Linked DNA regions of Neurospora crassa OR74A. The protein of the gene in region 1 purifies or fractionates together with the protein of each later gene. This does not show direct contact. Links are inferred from orthologs where the notes say so. Each region holds a gene or a part of one and is shown on either strand. Other genes may lie near its edges.

The links. The genes of interacting proteins can lie anywhere in the genome.
Region 2: the proteins of NCU00444 (region 1) and NCU05120 purify together in Saccharomyces cerevisiae (affinity purification with mass spectrometry; 6 studies listed by BioGRID). This does not show direct contact. The link is inferred for Neurospora crassa OR74A from reciprocal best matches to the Saccharomyces cerevisiae genes TAF14 and RPB2.

What each region holds. Positions count from the first base shown.
Region 1 is NC_026503.1:3,880,082-3,884,429, reverse strand, and holds the start of NCU00444 (transcription initiation factor TFIID subunit 14), read right to left. Parts: upstream 2,841-4,348; 5' UTR 2,010-2,840; coding exon 1,998-2,009; intron 1,816-1,997; coding exon 1,632-1,815; intron 1,541-1,631; coding exon 1,148-1,540; intron 1,076-1,147; coding exon 1,008-1,075; intron 935-1,007; coding exon 911-934; 3' UTR 1-910. Other genes in the region: NCU00443 (ran-specific GTPase-activating protein 1), read right to left, coding at 3,867-4,123, 4,191-4,348. UniProt on the Saccharomyces cerevisiae protein: Functions as a component of the DNA-binding general transcription factor complex TFIID, the RNA polymerase II associated general transcription factor complex TFIIF, and the chromatin-remodeling complex SWI/SNF.
Region 2 is NC_026506.1:3,688,532-3,691,403, reverse strand, and holds the end of NCU05120 (DNA-dependent RNA polymerase II RPB140), read right to left. Parts: coding exon 1,251-2,872; intron 1,193-1,250; coding exon 1,030-1,192; 3' UTR 578-1,029; downstream 1-577. Other genes in the region: NCU05119 (hypothetical protein), read left to right, coding at 1-82.

The DNA of each region.
Region 1 (4,348 bases):
CTCCGGATATAAGCCAAGAGCTCATGCCTGAAAAAGATGGCTATCTGGCAGGGTGCTGGCAGATCTATAGCGCTCTAGTCCAGGCACAGGAGACACGGAGACTAAGGCGAACGGACAGTTACTGCTGCTCCATACCCTGAACTGTGTAAACTAAACCATACAGCATGTTCTCTGCTTCTAATACCGCCATACGACGAGCAACGTAGAGAGACCGTGATCGAGAACTAGGTACCGCCTACAACATAACCGCTTCTCTTTCCCTTCCGAATTCCATGGGCGTGGGATCTATTACATACCTCCTTTCTACCTCTTACCCATCCTTTCCCGAACCTTTCTTTCCAATAAACAGTCTCAAATTTCCCTATGACGATCCTACCTAGAGGGGCAAACCTTGCACATGATAAGGTTCAAGGTCCGCCCAAAGCACAAACTGATTAGCGATGCCACTCCCTTCCAGTGAAGAGCAGTCCTCACGAGCAGACACCACCAATCAAGGCAACGATCCCACCGGCAGAAAGGAAACGGTTCAACGGAACACACCCTAGACCATCGAATATCACGCAAAGAAAGAAATCTGGAAGATCAAATCAAGCACAAATTTTGTCAAGAGAAGCTCTTGAATCTTTCTCAATTTTTGCTTTTTGCGTATCCCACCATAACTCCATAAACGCCACGGTAATGCAGGAGCCGAAGAAGCCTAAGGCTACAATGGCATGATGGTGAAGGTGGTTGATGTTGATGTGGATGGAAGTGTCAAGGGATCAATAATAGTGAATAAAGAGGGTGGTGGTGTACTGGGTATGGTATGGTGCGCACTGCGATCTAGTAAGGAAGAATGTTCCCGTCCCTGATGACTTCGTAAATCGATGGCCATCGACTACTGTAGGTTACTTGGACCAAGGAAGTCGTACTATGAGACTACGTTGGCTTTGACCTGTGGTAATATTAGCGATTTAGCTACAGAAGGATCCGATTGAGGGGGCAAAAGAATGGGAAGAACAACTTACCAAGAACTCCCAGAGCATCTTCATGAGGTTGTCAGGAAGAGTGTAGAGATCCACCGAGAACTCGCCCGCTATAGACATGTCCAGTCAGCCATCAGCTCGTGTTGCCTCCAGGGGCCACACTCCCTAGCGGGCAAACTTACCATCGAGGTTGTTCTGGATGTACGTATTGTCATCCTTGTGATCGTGGATCATCTGAATGACCTGCAGGAGGTCATCCTCGCCCAGCTTCGTCAAGCCATCCGCCATACGCTCGATGTCGTAGGGCCGCTTCTTCTTGGAACCGCCGTCCACCGCCTTCTTCTGCTTGCGCTCCTCGTCCGAGGGCAAGGGACCCGTCTCTCTCAGGAGCTGCTGGAGCGCCTGAGATGGGTTACGGAAGGTGACGGTATGGATGTTTTCGTACTCTGATTGCTGGAAGTTCAGGTCGTGCGCGATCGAGATCTTGCCGCCTTTCTCGGTGGTGTACATATCGATGATCATCTCAAATTCACCCCAGCCCTCGTTGGTGCATTTGAAGGGAGGATCGTTGAAAGCTGAATTTGCGACGCGTTAGCCAACCTCTGGCTCTCGAGACACAACAGAGATGGGGAGAGGTGACCGGCGGCCGCTCCGGTGTCTACTTACTCTGGATAGGGTTCGCGAACGAAGGGTGAAGGTTGTAGGTCACCTTCGTGAAGCACCTGGCGGGCCTCTCCTTGCCATCTTGGTCGAGAATATAGAGCTCGACCGTCCACTCCTTCATGGGGTAGCCCTCCTGTGCCGCCGGCTTGTTGATATTGTGTTGTTCTGTGACAACCTTGATCTTGCGCTGTAGACAAATAAACCCACGTTAGCCGTCGAATCCATTTCCCGAACAACAGCTATCCCGGAACGTTCTCCTCCTAGGGCCTTTCCTTTCCCTGCCTCTGCACCTGTTCTGTATGCCGCTACAGTGGTCACCCTGTTTGCGCAAGCTACCAACCACACTGGACTGGGAATCCGGAAACTAACCTCGACGATCATCTTGTTTGCGCCTGGAACCCGCTTCGGATTCCTTCTAGTAGCTTTGGTTCGAGTATTCTTACTAGCACTACTGGGAACGTCCGACCGATCCTCAAGGCCCTCTGCTTCCCAGAAATTGGATGGATTCCCGCGGTTAGCTTTGTGTACTTCTCTTCACTTGCTCGTGTCCTAGTACTCGAACAGCACTCTTTTGACAATCGGCGTTCGGTCGGTGTCTCGAGTACAGGACAGTAGTAAGACAGTGGCGTTCGGGCTCTTGAGGAAGAGCAAGGATTCGAGGATGTACGACGTTGTTGTATCCGTTGGGCTGTCTGGCAATGGGCTCTATAGTGTTTGGTGTGTTGTATGTGTTGGTGTGTCGCAGATTCCGTCGCGCTGCTAGAGTTGGGCTTTGTAGCGGTAGAGAATAAGGTCGTCCGTTACGGAGGGGTAAAGGTACCGCGGCGGGCCGTGGCGTGCGGTTGGGAACCAGGGATAATGATGGGGATAACGTAGCTCTAAGGTGTATAGCGTACAAATTGGGATAGGCAAAAGTTGGATGGGAACGCGATCGTGATCGTGAAGAGGGGCTAAGGTTAAGAGCGTGTCTCCTCTCTGATGGCCTTGGGTTGAAAAATGCTCAAGGGAGTGTTCAAGCAAGGCAATGTGGGAAGGTTTTTACTGAGTTATGGTGCTGATGCGACTTGGATGGTTGGGAATTTGGGTCACTGTGCAATATATGTACACTCCGATGAAGTTGGTTCAAGCGGGACATACCTTCGTCATTCGCGAACGGAGGCGTCGCGGCGCCGCCATAGTCAAAACCGTAACCATGGCTGAAGTCGACCATTGTCCCGTCGCTAGCACTCAGTGAGGTACCGCTGTGCGTGCTGTGGCTGGTGCGCTGTGATGCAGTGAGCGTCAGCTCGCTTTGCCGGCATTCCTCTACCCCTCACCGTGGATGTAAGCAAGGTGAGCTCACCTAGGTGAACGAAGATATCACCACTCTAATCGAAATATCGCGATGATCGAGAAAGCAGAAGTCTTGGAAAGAAGTTGTCAAAGACGACGGTGATGCTGAAGTAGACCCTGAAATCTTGAAGTAAATTGCTCCAAGATGTGATTTTGCGTCGTCGGGAGAAGAGTAGTGAGAGACCGCTGGCGAAGAAGAGGATCGTCGTCAGCTCGCCGTAAGGTAGTCAAGAAGAGAAGAAACCTCCAAAACCGCAAAACAACCAGATTTTTTATACGGTCGTCGCCAGACCGCGTCACGGACGACTTGGCAAACGGAATTCAGTATTTGTGTTTCTTTCAAGACAGGCTCAGGTTTCCGTCAGCTAGCCAGTCCATCAGATTCGTCTCATGTTTTGGTGGACCATCGTGCTAAGCCGTCAGCCAGGTATGACGAGGCGAGGTTGTGTGTACAAGAACTTGATCAAAAACCCCCAAAGGCAATGCATCGGTGTGAAGGGTAGTGAGTTGTTCTATCTAAAACTGTTGGTTAAGCTAAAGGTTATTTAGATCCCTTAAGAGTAATCCCCATCCTCATCCTCCTTGCCAGCCATAGTTGCAAAAGGGCCGTCGCAGTATGTTACCAGTATATTGAAATCTCGTCAAACGCACACCTGAATAGTGCTTTCATGTCGGATACTTCAACCTTTTGTTCTCGCACACGCTGCCCATGTACCAGCTCTCTAGCCTAGGAATCATCATCGTCATAACTTCTGTAGCGGTCCTTTCATTCATTCCATCGCCCAGCCCATGGAGGTAGTAATGTCATCGTCCCCTCTAACACCTAGCAAAACGGAAAATAGAACGGGGTGGTTGAAAAACTTTCCCTAAAGCAACTTCAAATTCATGCAAAACTAGACCACACATCTACTCGGCCTTCTCGTCCTCGGAATCCTCCTCAGCCTCCTTCTTCTCGGCGGCCTCCTCGGCAGCCTTGAAGAGAGCCTCGTTGTCCTTCTGGGCCTTGATAAAGGCATCCTTGAAAGCGTTGGCGTTGTCGGAGTTGGCAAAGCGGATCGCGAGGGTGACGGCCTCGGGCTCACCCTCGGAAACATCGGCAGCGGCGTTCCACACCCAGCTGCGGTCGGAACCAACGTTGGGGGAAAGCTTCATCTCAGGAACGACTAGTAGAATCGTATGGTTAGCAAGCTTCATTCAAGAACAGCTTCAATAGAGTAGGGTGTTGCTTACTGTAGTGGTTGGCGCAGACCTTGAGGGTCTTGTCGCGGCGCATGACGAGACGGGTCTTGCCATTCTCGTGGTGCTTGAGGAGACGGACGTCACCGGTACCGCGCTCCTTCCACTCGCTGGCCTCCTTGACGAACTTGAAAAGCTTGGCGCGCATCTTG
Region 2 (2,872 bases), on another chromosome or scaffold:
AGGACTGCCGAGGCCGAGTGCGGCGGGTAGTATACCTGTTGGAGGGGCCATTGGGACAGGGACAGGGACGGGGGAGAAATGAGGAGGAGGTGTGGTAGCTGAGAGGGAAAAAAGAAAGAGATAAAGAGGAGGGACTGGCTATACCGATGGTCCGCTCGTTGACTACGAGCTAGAGAGGGGAGGAGGTTCCGACCCAGCGGACCCAAAGTGAGGACAGCGAGGTACACCTGGGCTACCTATAGAGAGTCAAGAAGACGAGCAGAAACGCCGCCTTCTTTCCTAGCTAGCGAGCGGTGCCTTTTCCGAAGGCCAAGAGGTACGCTTGTCGGCGTACGGATAGCCAGATGGTGCGGCTGCCCTCATGGCTTTATCTGGTAGACCGACGTGCTCAATATGTCGGTCTTGACTGTTTACGGGGATGAGCTTGGCGGCTTCCTTCAGGGTGGAAGTCTGCGGCTGGAATCCTTGAGGGACAGCAGTCATAAACTGTATAACACTTGTATTATTACGTCTCTGCTTGGAAGCAGACTGGCATCTTGTACTTATTATTGTATTGGACATTCATAAGGAATTGTTTCGAGGGTACTTGATGTGTATGTGCCTCCAATGTCAAGTTTGCGAACACACCAGGATAGTGATATTTTTTGATAAATGTATAGTAAGTAGTAACTTTGCGCGTGAAAACTGAGCCACTCCCTCTTCCCTCGCAAATGCGCACAGAGACAGCCTGGATAACTTTGCGAAACTTGCTTGCAAATTGCAATCTTCAATCATTGAACGCCAGAACGACCATTTCTATGCAACTTTTTGTCTCTCTCATTGTCGTCCTTCTTGATTCCTCATTCCTTCCGTCTCCTTTGGATCCCACAGCACATCTACCAGCCCCAGCATGTAAAGAAAGAACCGCTTCTCTTTTGCCAGTGCCTATAAATGCCATGCCATGTACAAGGACCATGATAAGAAAAAACCGTGATATTATAACCGAGCCTTTCCGCACCAACCAACCCCCCGGGGAACCCACGACTACCCTTAACGAACCGAGATGCCGGACCGGCTGGTGAACAAGCGCGAGGCAATGTTCATCGACATGAGCTCCTGGAACAGAAGCTTGGCCGCGTAGGGCATGTGGACCTGGGCGATCTTGGTCTTGTTCTTGCAAGGACGGCATTCGAACGATTGCTTGGTGAGGTTTCTGCAGACGAACTGTTAGCATCACACGGACCCATCAAAAGGGAAGAGGAGGTACATACGCAATGGGAGTCATGAGACCGCAAATCTCGCAAATGTGCACTCTAAAAGCATCCGAAACCTCGAACAATCTCTCCTTCAAGAAGGCAGCGGCACCGTGAGCAATCATACAGTCACGTTCCATTTCACCGAAACGGAGACCACCGTCTCTGGCACGACCTTCGACGGGCTGACGAGTCATGATCTGCACCGGACCACGAGCACGAGCGTGGATCTTGTCGTCCACCATATGCCTCAAACGCTGGTAGTACGTAGGACCGAAGAACACCTGGGCGCGAAGCTTCTTGCCGGTATGGCCGTGGTACATGATTTCAAAGCCACGGGATTGGTAGCCGTGCTCGCGGAGGAGGTTGGAGACGGAATCGACCGTGACATCCGTGAAGGGGGTGGCATCACCCTCCATGCCCTTGAGCGCACCGACCTTGGACAGCAGACACTCGATCAAATGGGCAATTGTCATACGCGAAGGAATGGCGTGAGGGTTGATGATAATATCAGGCGTGATACCCTCGGCGGTAAACGGCATATCCTCTTGACGGTAAGTAACACCAATGGTACCCTTTTGACCGTGACGAGACGCAAACTTATCACCAATCTGGGGAATCTTTGTCGTACGAACCCTGACCTTTACGTAGCGCAAACCATCCTGGTTGGTTGTAAAGGCCACGGAATCGACGATACCACTCTCCGTGCTGCGCAGCGGCGTGGACGCGTCGCGCTTGACGTGCTGAGCCGTGCGCTGGCCAAGTTCTTGGTTATCGGGGTTGATGGGAGATGTCTTGCCGATGATGATGTCGTCACCGGTGACTCTTATGCCAGGAGCAATGATACCATCATTCTCAAGCTTGTCGTACGTGCCGTGCTTGGGCCGCAGGGTGTTGCTTCTATCTGGCTTCTCAAATTGCTCCACGATGTTGATGCCGACACGCTTCTCGCAATCCGTGTAGGAACGGAAGAAAAGACTGCGGAAGATACCACGGTCGATACTGCTCTGGTTCATAATGACGGAATCTTCCTGGTTGTAACCAGAGTAACAAGCGATGGCAACAATGGCGTTCTGACCGGCAGGAAGCTCACGGAACTTGAGATATTCCATAGAGCGGGTGGTCGCCAGTGGTTTTTGAGGGTAGTAAAGAATGTTGGCCATGGTATCCATACGTCGGGAGTAGTTGGTAAGGAAGAAGCCCATAGCTTGCTTACCCATGGCAGACTGGTAAGTGTTTCTGGGCGACTGGTTGTGATCGGGGAAAGGAATGATACTGGCGCAGATACCGAGAAGCATACTGGGGTGAATCTCGCAGTGCGTGTACATGTGTGTTGTCGGGTTGAATTTTGTCTTGATACGGCTATTGCCACGGTTGGCGGCGTCGTCCTCAAACTCGCGACCCTTGAACTTGTGCTGACGGTAAGTGTCCAGATCTTCTGGCGTCATGCAGATCATGGCCGTCTCTTCCTCCTCGGCGTCGAGGTATTCGATAGCACCTGACTCGAGCAGGCCTTGCCAGCCAAAGTAATCCTCATGGTATTTGCCAAGCTCCTTATCCTGCTCAAGGCGCCTGATATGCTCCTTGGTAAGGATGAGCTGACCCTTTTCGACACCGGATTCGCTGTTGTCTTCTTGCTC